Sus scrofa: one gene and its partners. Each later gene encodes a partner of the first gene's protein in a complex. Links are inferred from orthologs where the notes say so. Each region holds a gene or a part of one and is shown on either strand. Other genes may lie near its edges.

Region 1 (4,390 bases):
TAGCCTGGGACCCACCATAGGGAGCAGCCCTAGGAAAGGCAAAAAAAGACAAAAAAAAAAAAAAGGGACAATGCTCAATAAACTGGGTGACTTATACCTTGATGCTCTTTACAGCTGCAAGTTTTCACATACATTCTCATCTTGGTTCCCAAACCACCTCATAGACTGGAGAACATGTCCCTGTTTTACAGCTGAGGCTGACATTCCCAAAACCAGACAGTAAGCGAGAGGCCAAGCTCAGAACTCGGACCAGGCTGCCTGCTCCAGGACTTCTTCACTATCTTATGCCACTTTGTCAGGACACGTGGGAGGAGCGGGGGTGGACTGGTGCTGGGGGAGGAAGTCTGTGCAGAGGTTGTGAGGCGGGAAAGAGCTGAGGGTGCACAGCTGAGCTGAGCAGGGAGACACTGGAGGTGAGGCAGGAGGAGAGGCAGGATGGGAGAAGGGGGAGATGGAGGCAGCCTCCTGCCTGGTTTGGGGACGGGGGTCTGAGGGAAAGGATTCTGGCTGCTCAATAAGGAGAGGAGGGAGGCATTGAGACCAGCGAGGAAGGAGTCAGAGGCACAGGCCTTGGCAAGAGGCAAGCTAAACGGAGCGGGCTCAGCAGAAGGGTGCAGCCAGGAGGGATTCCAGAGGCATTCTAATAATGATTTGTGTAGGGAGGATGTGTGGAGTAACTACTATTATTAGACACTAGGTATTTGCGTGACTTTGTTGAACCTATGCAATAGATCTATAAGGTAAACACTACTATTAGTCCTATTTTACAGATGGGGACACTGAAGTCTAAGGAGGTTAAATTATTCATCTAAGGCAGGGTTTCTCAAAGCTGGCACTCTTGACATTTTAGGCCAGATAATTCTTTGCTGTGAGGGGTGGGTCTAAGCATATGGGATGTTTTGCTGTATCCCTAGCCCTCTGCCCCCAGTTATGACAATCAAAAATGTCTTCAGAAGGTGCCAAATGTCTCCTGTGGGGCAAAATCACATCCAGTTGAGAAACACTTGTATAAGGTCATATGATTAGTAGCAGAACTGGGATTGTGATACAGGTGGGCCTGCTCTGAAAGCCAAGCACTTAGCTGTCAGGCTGTAATTCTGGACAGGTAGGAGTGGGAGAGAGGAGGATTCCAGTGGGACCTAGGCCATTGGGAGACAGTTATACGCCCCCACAGGGGTGGGAAGGGGTGACTCTTTGGGAGAGGGTCTAGGAAATAGGGGGTGATTTGGAGAGTCAAGGCTATGGTTTGGGAATCCCTTTATAATGTTTCTGGGTTGGTTTTTTTTTTTTTTTTTTTTGTCTTTTTAGGGCAACAGCCACAGCATATGGAGGTTCCCAGGCTAGGGGTCCTATTGGAGCTGTAGCTGCTGGCCTACACCACAGCCACAGCCATGCCAGATCTGAGCCACGTCTGCAACCTGCACCACAGCTCACAGCAGCGATGGATTACCTTAACCCACTGAGCGAAGCCAGGGATCAAACTTGCATCCCTATGGATACTAGTCAGGTTTGTTTCCCCTGAGCCACAACAGGAACTCCCTAGAGTGCTTGGAGGGAGGGTCCCTGTCTTATTCATTCTTTGATCACAGGGTCAAGTACTAAACACCTGTTGAACTGCTGAGTCACTCCTGCACAGGTGGTATGGAAGGACCTGGCTGTTCTTTAAGTAGCTGCCACATACCAGGCACTGGGCTAGGGGCCATGTGGGGCTGATCCCACTTCATCTTGACTTCAGCCTTATGAGGAAGGTATTATTATCTGCATTTTATATACCAAAAACCCAAACTCCGAGAAGTTGACTAATTGACCTAAGATAGTCCAGCTGAGTAACTGCCTTCTTCCCATCCGGACCCAGCTAGATGGAATGATGCAGGCTTAGAACAATTAGCTTGGCTTAGTTTAGCTGGGAAGGCCCTCAGAAGGAGCGTGTTTGATGGCCTTTTGTAAAGCCAGTGAACCCCTCATTTGAATGAAATTTCACCCCAAAAGCCCAATATACTAAATGACAGAGGCAGAGTCTCTCTAGCAGGGAAGTTTAGGGACCCCTGCCTGGTGATCCTTTGCCCCTCCCCTAAGAGGCCCCCAGGGCTCTGAGAATTAAACCCCTCTCTTTACAAAGTGGGCTTCTCAGGCTGGAGAAGCTAAGATTTGCCCAAACACAGCCAGAAACCCCCAAATAGTACTCGGACCCTATTTCACACTACTGTAGGAGACAGGACATCACTCTGGACATACTGGAAGGGGCTAATCGACCTCAAGGGATGGGCATTATCGCTACCATGATGAGGCAGGGGTTGCAGGGGTCAGTGTAGGGCTGGCTATCTTCCCTGGGTGCTCCAGCCAGGCCAGACAGGGCCGCTAGATAATGAGCACAGAACCAACCCTTTACACTTCACATTTGGCTGGGCAGGTCTCCCAGGTGTCATCTTTTCACAATCCAGATTACTACCTTAACCCTCTCAAACCTCTCTGAGATGCACAAAGCAAACACCATGATGCCCATTATACAGATACGGAGATTGAGACTTGGGCCAGGTTAACTGATATGCTCCAGGCCACACAACAAGAGACAGAAGCAGGTCCCAAACTCCAGGGATTTGCCTCCAGGTTAACTACATCCCACCTCCCTTCAGTCCAGACCCCAAAGGAGCTCCATCCAACAGCAAAATCCGAGAGTCTGCCCAGGAGTCCCTGCCCGACATTCCAAACCCCATCCCCCACTCAAATGGGCCCAGAGAGCCGCCCCACCTGTGAGCCTCAGGCTTCCTGGAACCGTCACAATACACACCAAAATACTGCCACGGTACACACCAGACAAGAGCCAAAGAGGAATTCCGCAGTGACTTCGTCCTCTCTGCTCCCTATCTCCCAGCTTTGGCCCCGCCCCACCTGGTGAGGGTGGGGGAGGGGAGGTAGACGTAGGAAGGGGCGGGGCCCCGGAGACGTGGGCGGAGCCAAGGGGACGGGGCTTGTTCCCTCCAGGGCAGATCGGTTCGGGCTGGTAGGGCGACTCCGGACTCCGGCGGGGTGGTTCCTCTCCCGCCCCCCCGCCCCCGCCGCCCGGAGGCGGGCAGTGCTGACGGCTGGTTCTGACGCAGGCGCCTGCGTGTGGGCGGCTGCCTGTGAGTCTGTGTGTGTCTGTGTGTGTGTGGTTGCCGGGGCCTCCCGGGTCTCCTAAATGGGGGTTTCCTCTCCCTGTTGCCAAGGAAACAAACAGAAGCGCCACAACTCCAGAACTGGGGCCGGCGAAAAGGGTCCCCAAGCCCTAGGCGCCGAGAGGCTTCCAGGAAGTGAGGCAGAAAAGGATCCCTGTTTCCCCCCCCACCCCCAGTCCAGGTGCTGAGCAAACGTTACCCAATGTGGGGCCTGAAACTAGTGGCCACCTGTCCTGTTTGCAGAGCACTGAGGAGTTTCCTAGGACAAGGGCCTTGCAGTGCTCAAACCCGAACAGTTCCTGGCAAAACCGGACAGTTGGTCTTCCTAAGTGTCCATCCAATTTTTGTGGGGAGGCTCTATCTTAAAAATATGAGAATATCTTTTACAGATTTCACACAGATAAGTGAACACGTGGAAACCTGGTCAGGCTCCTCTAAGGGTCTTGGGAAGGCCTGTGCCACTGTGGATCCCTGAGCTTCACCTTGCTTAGCCTCACCATAAAACCAACCTGGGTTCCCAGCCCCTGCAGCCCCTAAGTTCCTCAGGGTCCCCTTCCAAGGCTAGCCCTTGGCACTCACCCCAGGGAGGTCAACTGGGAAAGCAAATTCTCCCCGGGGAGGATGGTGGTTAATCTGCAGGAGATTTCCTGATGGGGGAACAGATCAAAGGGCACTTCTGGATTAGTGGCGGCCACGTGTGGCAGGTGGATGGGCAGGGCCTTGGCCAAGGTCAGGAGCTCCTGGAGGGAGACTCCATGGGATGGAAGGGACTGCCTTGGGCCAGTGCTTCATCAGTCATTGCTTAGAAGCCAGAACTTCAGAGCTGGGAGGAGTCTAAGGACATCATGCAAGCCAACCCCCTCCTTTCTAGACCTGCCTTGATCCAGCTCCCCAGATTCCCCTGTCCCACTATCCCTATGCCAGCCCACAGGCTAGCCCCAGAGTAACACCCCAATTGCCCTCTTTGTCTAGTAAATCCAAAGCTTACAGGGCTCCCTGAGAGCCCACTTCACTTTGGCCCTTGACCCCTGAGTGGCAGGTAATGGGGGAGCCACTGGAGCAGCGGTAGGGCAGCAGGGACCTGGCTGGGAGGGACAGGATGCACGAGTGGCCTGAGGCTGGTGTGCTCTCAGGCTGCCCAGGGAGGGGCCAAGAGGGCATCTGTTTCCTCTTGGCCATGATTCCCTCAATCCCATCCCCAAAGGAGGTGAAAATGGGGCTGGCTTCCTGAAGCG
Region 2 (3,880 bases), on another chromosome or scaffold:
ACCAAGTACCAGTCAGCATTATCAGCCAGCTGCAACCCTTGCTGAGCTACAGTCACCCTGTCCCCACCCCAGTGCCACTCACCCTGACGATCTGCTGCCGGTCGGAGGGCACCATGTGCTCCCCCAGCACCTCCTTCACCACGTGCTTCCTCTTGGTGGCCTGAGACATGTTGTTGGGTCCTGTCCCAGGGTGGGGGTGAGGGATGCAGAGACTGTCAGCTCCTCTCCCTGAGTTTCTTGGATGGCAGTCTCAGAAGGACTATTCTAAAGATGGGGAGGGACCTTTTACTGGGGAGGACACAGTGTCAGGTTAAGGAGAACTACTTGCATTCAAATCCCACCTTGGGTATTTCATGACTGTTCAATTTCTCTAGACTTCAGAGAAAAACAATAGCTAACTTAGAGCACTGCTCTAAGAATGAGCATAAGCAAAGCACTTAGCACTGTAAAGCACGTAAAAACAACTCGTGTGACAAGAGTTCTCCTGTGGCATAGCAGGTTAAGGATCTGGCATTCTCACTGCAGGGGCTCAGGTTGCTGCTGTGGCACAGAATCAATCTCTGAGCCGGGAACTTCCATGTGCTGCAGGCACGGCCAAAACAAATAAACAAATTTAAAAATACAACGGTAAAAACTAAACACGGGTTTCAGGAAAACAAGTCATTCTGGCAACCAGGGGGAGAAAGAATCACATAAACTCTTCTTCGGTATGCCTGTACATCCCAAGCGTAGCACAGCCACACAAACAGATGCTCAATCTCTCAACATACCACAGACATGGACCAGGGAGAAGAATTCAAGTTAGGAACAAGTTAACTAAGGTCAGGGCCGGCCGACATGGTCTTTGGCATCTGCTGTTTATGATTTGGGTACTGAGAAGACGAGGACTGATGCGCACACAGAAGACGGCCGGTTTCCAAAGGAAACGCCGAAGTGTCATCTCTAGTTGCCGTCCCCTGCCTGCCCTCCTCCCTTCCTACCCCGAAGGAAAGACGCTCAGTGAGAGAAACCCAAACTTACTCTCTGGCCCTCGGATCCCACGGGCGATGCCTGAAGCGGAACGACCCCGTTCTCCAGGCTGGACGCTGAACACGTCTCGTCAACGACTCGCTTTGTAGCTGAGTCAACGAGCGCACAGAAAATGGACTTGCCGGCGGTCGCGCCGGTGAAGACCCCTTGGACTCAAGTCTCTTACAAGCCGGACGGCGAGGAAGACAGCACGCGCCGGCCCGAGGAAACCCCTTACTTCCGGCGCTCTCTCGGAAGCCTCCCAGCCACACCTCCCTCCTTGTCCGCTCCTCTAATTCTTCCCACCACCAAGTAGGCCACGTTTAATCCTTAAGTTCCAAATGTCGCGCCGCCGAGAAATAAAGTTTTCTCCTCCCAGGCCTCTGCTCCCTCAGACCGGAAATATTTCCCGAGCAGTGAGACCACAGAAAGCTGCCCGGCTTCCCGCAAAGCAACCGGAAAGGAGCGCCTCCTAAACGCACGCTGGCGCGCCGCCCCCTCAACCCCGGCCCAATCTCAACTCTATGACTTCACGCGGCTAGAGGTGCCCAATGTAATTTTGGGTTTTTTTTTAAGGCGGCTCTTGAGGCGACCCGGAAGCGGAAGTGGGGCGAAAGTTCTAGCGGGTCGAGGCATCCGCAGGAGCGGCCGGGTGGCGGGAGAGGCCGTTACGGGAACCGGAGCTGCGGGTGAGTGCGAGCCGCGGTGCAGGGCCCAAGCTGGAGACTGGCGGAGGCGCGGGGAAGAGAAGGGGAAAGGCGCCTCAAGCACTGCGGCGGGCCAGAGGATGCGCCCTCGGAGAGGGATCGGCCGGGGCGCGGCGCGCGAGCGCAGAGGCGCGGGGAGGGGGCGGGGCGCGGCGCGCTGGGGGCGGGGCCGGCGGCGTGGGGCGCGGCGGGAGCCCTGGCGTGCAGCCCGCCGGGCTGGAGAAGCCGCTTCGCTTCTGCTTTGTGATTAGCTGGCGGGCCGGGTGGGACAGAGTCCTTCATTTGCTTTACGGGCCAGGTAGCCGTTGCAGGCAGGGTCAGTGCCACTTGGGCCCAGCCAAGGTCACCGAGGAGTGACAATTTCAGGGCGAGCCCTGGGTCCTGACAGACTCTTGGAATCTTGACTCTGCTCTGCGTGCGCCACCTGTTAGAGCAAGATAGTGTTGCCTCTGGGGTGGTACCGAAACCAGCTCCTGCAAGGAGTGGAAGAGATTTCTCTTTTGAATAGTGAGGAAAAGACTCCTTAGGCTTCGCTTTTTTCGTCCGTGAAGTGGGGGGAGAAGCGAGTAAGCTTCTGCGATGACTGGTCGAGCGTCCTCTTAACTGTGAGATTGGTAGTGGGCCCTCAGGAGTTCCCGGGTTTTCAGCCCTAACCTGCCTTTTCTTGGGATTCTCAGGTTAAGCTTGATCAAGATGACAACTTCCCAAAAGCACCGAGATTTCGTGGCAGAGCCCATGGGGGAAAAGCCAGTGGGAAGCCTGGCCGGGATTGGTGACGTACTGGGCAAGAAGCTGGAGGAAAGGGGCTTTGACAAGGTGTGGGGTGGCTGCGTGCAGCTGGGGAGGGCTGAGGATGGCCTGCTGGGCTCTTTCCTGGCAGTTGGGGCGGGAGGAGAGTGAGTGGACCCGTTGGGGGTGGGCAGTGGCATGTATTCTGCAGGGCTAGCCAGAGCCGGCCCTGCTTCCTAGGCTGAGGGCCTCGTTCCTGGTCCGCAGAGCACCTAGCAGCATGCCCTTCCCTCTGCCTGTCTTGCAGGCCTATGTGGTCCTTGGCCAGTTTCTGGTGCTCAAGAAAGATGAAGACCTCTTCCGGGAATGGCTGAAGGACACGTGTGGCGCCAATGCCAAGCAGTCGCGGGACTGCTTCGGGTGCCTCCGGGAGTGGTGTGATGCCTTCTTGTGATGCCCTCCGGGGAGCCCCCGACCCCAAGCCCCAGCATTGAGTCTCCAGAGTTTGCAGCCAAGCCAGGACTCCTCCCCCATCCTCTACAAAGGAAAAGATTGCTGTTGTGTGCACTTCCAACGTACTCCAGCATCTTTTGGGAGTTCTCTCCCCTCACCATGTCACCTTTTTTGGAATTCTCACACTTGCATGCATCTCCCTTCTCCTTTCCTTGCCAGTTTCATGTCAGCAATTACCAGCTTTTCTGAGTGAATTCCTGGTCCTGGCCCTTACCCCTACCCTCACTTCTGATCTGTTTTATGCCATGTTTGGCCCTCTTTTTGGCAGAACAGTTCCTGTCCTTGTAAAGTTTTCTAAATCAATAAAGTCAGTGGCCTTCATGCCTGGGCTCTGTCCATGGAAAGCAGGTGGGCTGGGAGCTCCCTGTTCCCCAGGGCCCGGCCAGGTTTGCCACACTCCTTATCAGTGCACGTCGAAACCGGCAGCTTCTGGCTCCAGAGGGCAGCCATCCTGGCCACGTGGGCCTTGGGCCAGGTGCCTCGGAGTGTCTCAATCCCTTAGTGATGTGGGAGAGGGTGTGGGTTGATCCCTTCCTGGGGTCCAGGTGGGCTGGGGTGTTCCAGATGTCAGCGTGGTCAGCTGGGCTAGGCAGCACCTGGTGGAAGACAGTTGGAGTCAGCGCTGCCAGGAAAAGGGTGGACCAGATGTGGGCGAGGGTTTACCTGATAATCGTCATGTGCTCTCCTGGCCTCCGGTAGGAGTGGACAGGGTTTTTGCAATCTGCCCTGTTCTCTTAGGCTTAGGCGGGAGCAGCGGGGGTGTGGGTGGGTGAATTTTTCTCAGCTTTACAGTCTAGTGAAGAGAGAAGTGACAGGTGATAAATACAGAAATTCAGGTAATGTGAGTTAGGCTTCTATTTGGTGCATATTTGTCCTGTTCTGTGTTTTTTTGTTTCTGTCTTTTAGGGCCACACCCATGGCAT
Region 3 (3,602 bases), on another chromosome or scaffold:
AAGCTGCAAACGGCCAGTTTCTTCTCTTTAACTGATGAAACAATTATGATAGCCAATCTCAATTATTTTCACATGTCCAGTATTTTCACCATAAGCTTCTTTGCTTTAAATATGTTGCTGCAAACATTTTTGCTACATAACTAAATGGCTGTTAAGGCAATTTTGCCGTGAAAGGTAAAATAACTGGTTGACAGTTTTTGGTTTCACAATTTGGTTTCAACTGGTTGAAATTTGTTAGCATTTCCTCCAGTTAGCAATGTTATTGATGGCTTTTTTGAGCTGACAGATGATCTGCCTCAAGAGTTGGTTTCTTATTTTGAAACACACTGCTTTGCAGGAGAAAGAGGCCGTGAGGGCCTCAAAGGTGCAGTTGAACCCACATTGCCCAAAGAACTTTGGAATGTCTACCAGTGGATATGTGACATATACCAAGAACAAAACAATGGTGTAGAGGCTTTCATGAACTGGTATGGTAGACCTGAGATTCAAACTCAAGCCACCTGAGTTCAGAGTCAGCTCTTAACCTCAACACTATGCACTTTCAATTGTTCTTAGGGGTGTAAAACCAAGAATTGTTTTTTGGGGGTGTGTATGAAAAAAATCTTCCTCATTTTACATTTAATAAATATACGTGTGTGTGTGTGTGTGTGTGTGTGTGTACATACAGTACCGGAACAGACATACAGCCTACAGTATATCTATGGTATTAAAATTTCATGGAGGGGCAATCAGGGAAAAAAATGGTTACAGAGGTGCCAGGGTGATGGGTCAGGGGAGATCATGAAAAGAAGACTGAGAAACACGGCTCTGTACTTCATAGCCTCTCCTCTTTCAGCACGGGGGAAGACCAGCCCTGTTTTACTAAGAAAAAAATTATCTATCACTCATTATTTCATTCAATAACTGTGAATTATATGCTTATTATATGCCAGGTACTAAGCAGAAAATAATGAACAAGACCTTAAAGTACCCTACCTCTTAAAACTACCAGTCTGTCAGCGAAACAGGCAAATTCAATACAATGTGATAAGTACTCTGGTAGGAATAATAATGGAACGGAACCTTATCCAGACTTGAGGGATGGGGAAGTTTCAAATGGTTTCTTAGAAGAGGTGCCTCAGCTGAATCCTAATGGAAGAGTGGGGATTAATCAGGCCCCAGGGAGAGAGTGGAGATGAAGGGGGAGAGGAGGGGTGCCCCAGACAGAGATAACAGCATATAAAAGGACTCAAGGTCATAAGAAACCAAGCTGGGTATGAGATGGACAATAAAGAAATGGAAAAGGAGGTCCTTTGTGGCTCAGTGGGTTAAGGACCTGATGCATCACTGCTGTGGCTCAGGTTGCTGCCATGGCATGTGTTCAGTCCTGGTTCAGGAACTTCCACATGTCACAGGCATGGCCAAAAAAAAAAAAAAAATGCAAAGAATTTTGGGGAAGGAATAAAAACATGAGGCTAGAATTCCCATTGTGGCTCAGTGGGTTAAGAACCTGATGTAGTCTCCCTGAGGATGCAGGTTTGATCCCTGACCTCACTAAATGGATTAAGGATCTGGTGTTGCTCCAAGCTGTAGCATAGGTCACAGATGGGGCTCAGATCCAGTGTTGCTGTGGCTGCAGCATAGGCTTCAGCCGTCACTCTGATTCACCCCTGGCCCAGGAACTTCCATATGACACAGGTGTGGCTGCAAAAAAAAAAAAAAAAAAAAGATGAGCTCAAATAAGCAATGGCCAAATCAAAAGAATCTCATAAATCATGCCAAGAAATTTGGACTTTACCCTGAGGGAGAAATCAAGCCAGTGAAAGGTCATACATAGGAGAATAACATGATCAGTGCTGTGCTTCAGGGTTCCTTTGGCTGCAATGTGGATGACAGGTTGCAGAGTTAAGACAGAGGCAGGAGAGTTCCCACTGTGGTACAATGGGTTAAGAACCTGACTGCAAGGCAACAACCTAAGTGTCCATTGAGAGATGACTGGATTAAGAAGATGTGGTATATATAAACAATGGAATACTACTCAGCCATAAAAAAGAACAAAATAATGCCATTTGCAGCAACATGGATGGAACTAGAGACTCTCATACTAAGTGAAGTCAGAAAGACAAATACCAGAGTTCCTGTCGTGGCGCAGTGGTTAACGAATCCGACTAGGAACCATGAGGTGCGGTTCGGTCCCTGCCCTTGCTCAGTGGGTTAACAATCCGGCGTTGCCGTGAGCTGTAGTGTAGGTTGCAGACGCGGCTCAGATCCTGCGTTGCTGTGGCTCTGGCGTAGGCCAGCGGCTACAGCTCTGATTCAACCCCTGGCCTGGGAACCTCCATATGCCTCGGAAGCGGTCCAAGAAATAGCAAAAAGACAAAAAGACAAAAAAAAAAAAAAAAGAAAGACAAATACCATATGATATCACTTATATCTGAAATCTAATATATGGTACAAATGTAACTTTCCACAGAAAAGAAAATTATGGACTTGCAGAATAGACTTGGTTGCCAGGGGTTGGGGGGAGTGGGGGGGAGAGTAGGAGGGACTGGGAATTTGGGGTTAATAGATGCAAACCATTGCCTTTGGAATGAATAAGCAATTGGATCCTGCTGTATAGCACTGGGAACTACATTGGTCACTTGTGATGGAGCATGATAATGTGAGAAAAAAGAATGTACACATGTATGTGTGAACTGGGTCACCTTTTTGTGCACTAGAAAATTGACAGAACACTGTAAACCAGCTATAATGGAAAAATAAAAATCATTATAAGAAAAAAATACATTTGCTAAAAAAAAAAAAAATAATATATATATATATCTGACTACAGTAGCTTGGGGGTGGCTGCAGAGGCACAGATTCGATCCCCAGCCTGGAGTAGTAGGTTAAAGGATCTGGCATTGCTGCAGCAGTGGCATAGATCACAGTTATGGCTCAGATTCAGTCCTTGTCCGGAGAACTTCCAAATGTCTCAGGTATGGTCATTAAAAAAAAGAGAGAGAGAGAGAGAGACAGGAAGGCAAGTTAGGATTAAGATAAAAATAGCTTACAACTTAAGATTCTTTTTCATACCTGGCCTCAGAGTGACAGTTACCATATTCCACAATTTTCAACTGAGAGTTATTGTTTCTGCCTCTTTTGCTCCACATGCATTACTATCAATAACAAAGGGTAAGAAAGCATTCTTGGATTTGTAGGTGTGGCACCCTCTTTTGTATACAAAAATAAAGAAATGAAAATAAACACTATAAAGTATTAAATAATTTGACAGACTGTCTCTCCGATGAGTAAATTACTCACAGTGCCTTCAATCTCTGAATAGAGTCCTGACCAGAAGCTGAAAGTACTTTTATCCAGCTGATACAGTCGAGATTTCTCAAATGTTTCTGAATCCATGATCTGTCCTAACTCCAGTGGTACATGAGTTGTTGTTTTATATATCCGTCTCTGAAACATTTTGAAGAAAACACCTTAAGGAAACAGTCAAATGAACTCATTATTTATTACAATAGTCATTTACGAGCAGACATTGAATGGTGATCGTAACACCAACACCAATCAAATAACATAATTTGCTTTATACATACACGAATATTGCATTTGATCAAGTATGTTGACAA

The links.
Region 2: the proteins of LMNA (region 1) and BANF1 are in contact, whole or in part, in a crystal structure (PDB 6GHD), measured with the Homo sapiens proteins. The link is inferred for Sus scrofa from reciprocal best matches to the Homo sapiens genes LMNA and BANF1. Residues at the interface, in NP_001393912.1 of Homo sapiens: Ser431, Gln432, His433, Ala434, Arg435, Met540, Lys542; in NP_001137457.1 of Homo sapiens: Val11, Ala12, Glu13, Pro14, Glu83, Asp86, Ala87, Phe88.
Region 3: the proteins of LMNA (region 1) and ZMPSTE24 are in contact, whole or in part, in a crystal structure (PDB 2YPT), measured with the Homo sapiens proteins. The link is inferred for Sus scrofa from reciprocal best matches to the Homo sapiens genes LMNA and ZMPSTE24. Residues at the interface, in NP_001393912.1 of Homo sapiens: Cys661, Ser662, Ile663, Met664; in NP_005848.2 of Homo sapiens: Ser264, Asn265, Ala266, Tyr267, Phe268, Val332, His335, His339, Glu415, Leu438, Asn439, Asn442, His459, Arg465.

Annotation. Positions count from the first base shown.
Region 1 is NC_010446.5:93,923,434-93,927,823, forward strand, and holds the start of LMNA (prelamin-A/C), read right to left. Parts: upstream 2,852-4,390; 5' UTR 2,749-2,851; intron 1-2,748.
Region 2 is NC_010444.4:6,332,849-6,336,728, reverse strand, and holds BANF1 (barrier-to-autointegration factor), read left to right. Parts: upstream 1-1,402; 5' UTR 1,403-1,697; exon of another isoform or gene 1,698-1,847; intron 1,848-1,869; exon of another isoform or gene 1,870-2,281; intron 2,282-2,392; 5' UTR 2,393-2,408; coding exon 2,409-2,531; intron 2,532-2,751; coding exon 2,752-2,898; 3' UTR 2,899-3,278; downstream 3,279-3,880. Other genes in the region: probable RNA-binding protein EIF1AD, read right to left, coding at 83-169. UniProt on the Homo sapiens protein: Non-specific DNA-binding protein that plays key roles in mitotic nuclear reassembly, chromatin organization, DNA damage response, gene expression and intrinsic immunity against foreign DNA.
Region 3 is NC_010448.4:96,011,272-96,014,873, reverse strand, and holds part of ZMPSTE24 (CAAX prenyl protease 1 homolog), read right to left. Parts: intron 3,430-3,602; coding exon 3,283-3,429; intron 1-3,282. UniProt on the Homo sapiens protein: Transmembrane metalloprotease whose catalytic activity is critical for processing lamin A/LMNA on the inner nuclear membrane and clearing clogged translocons on the endoplasmic reticulum.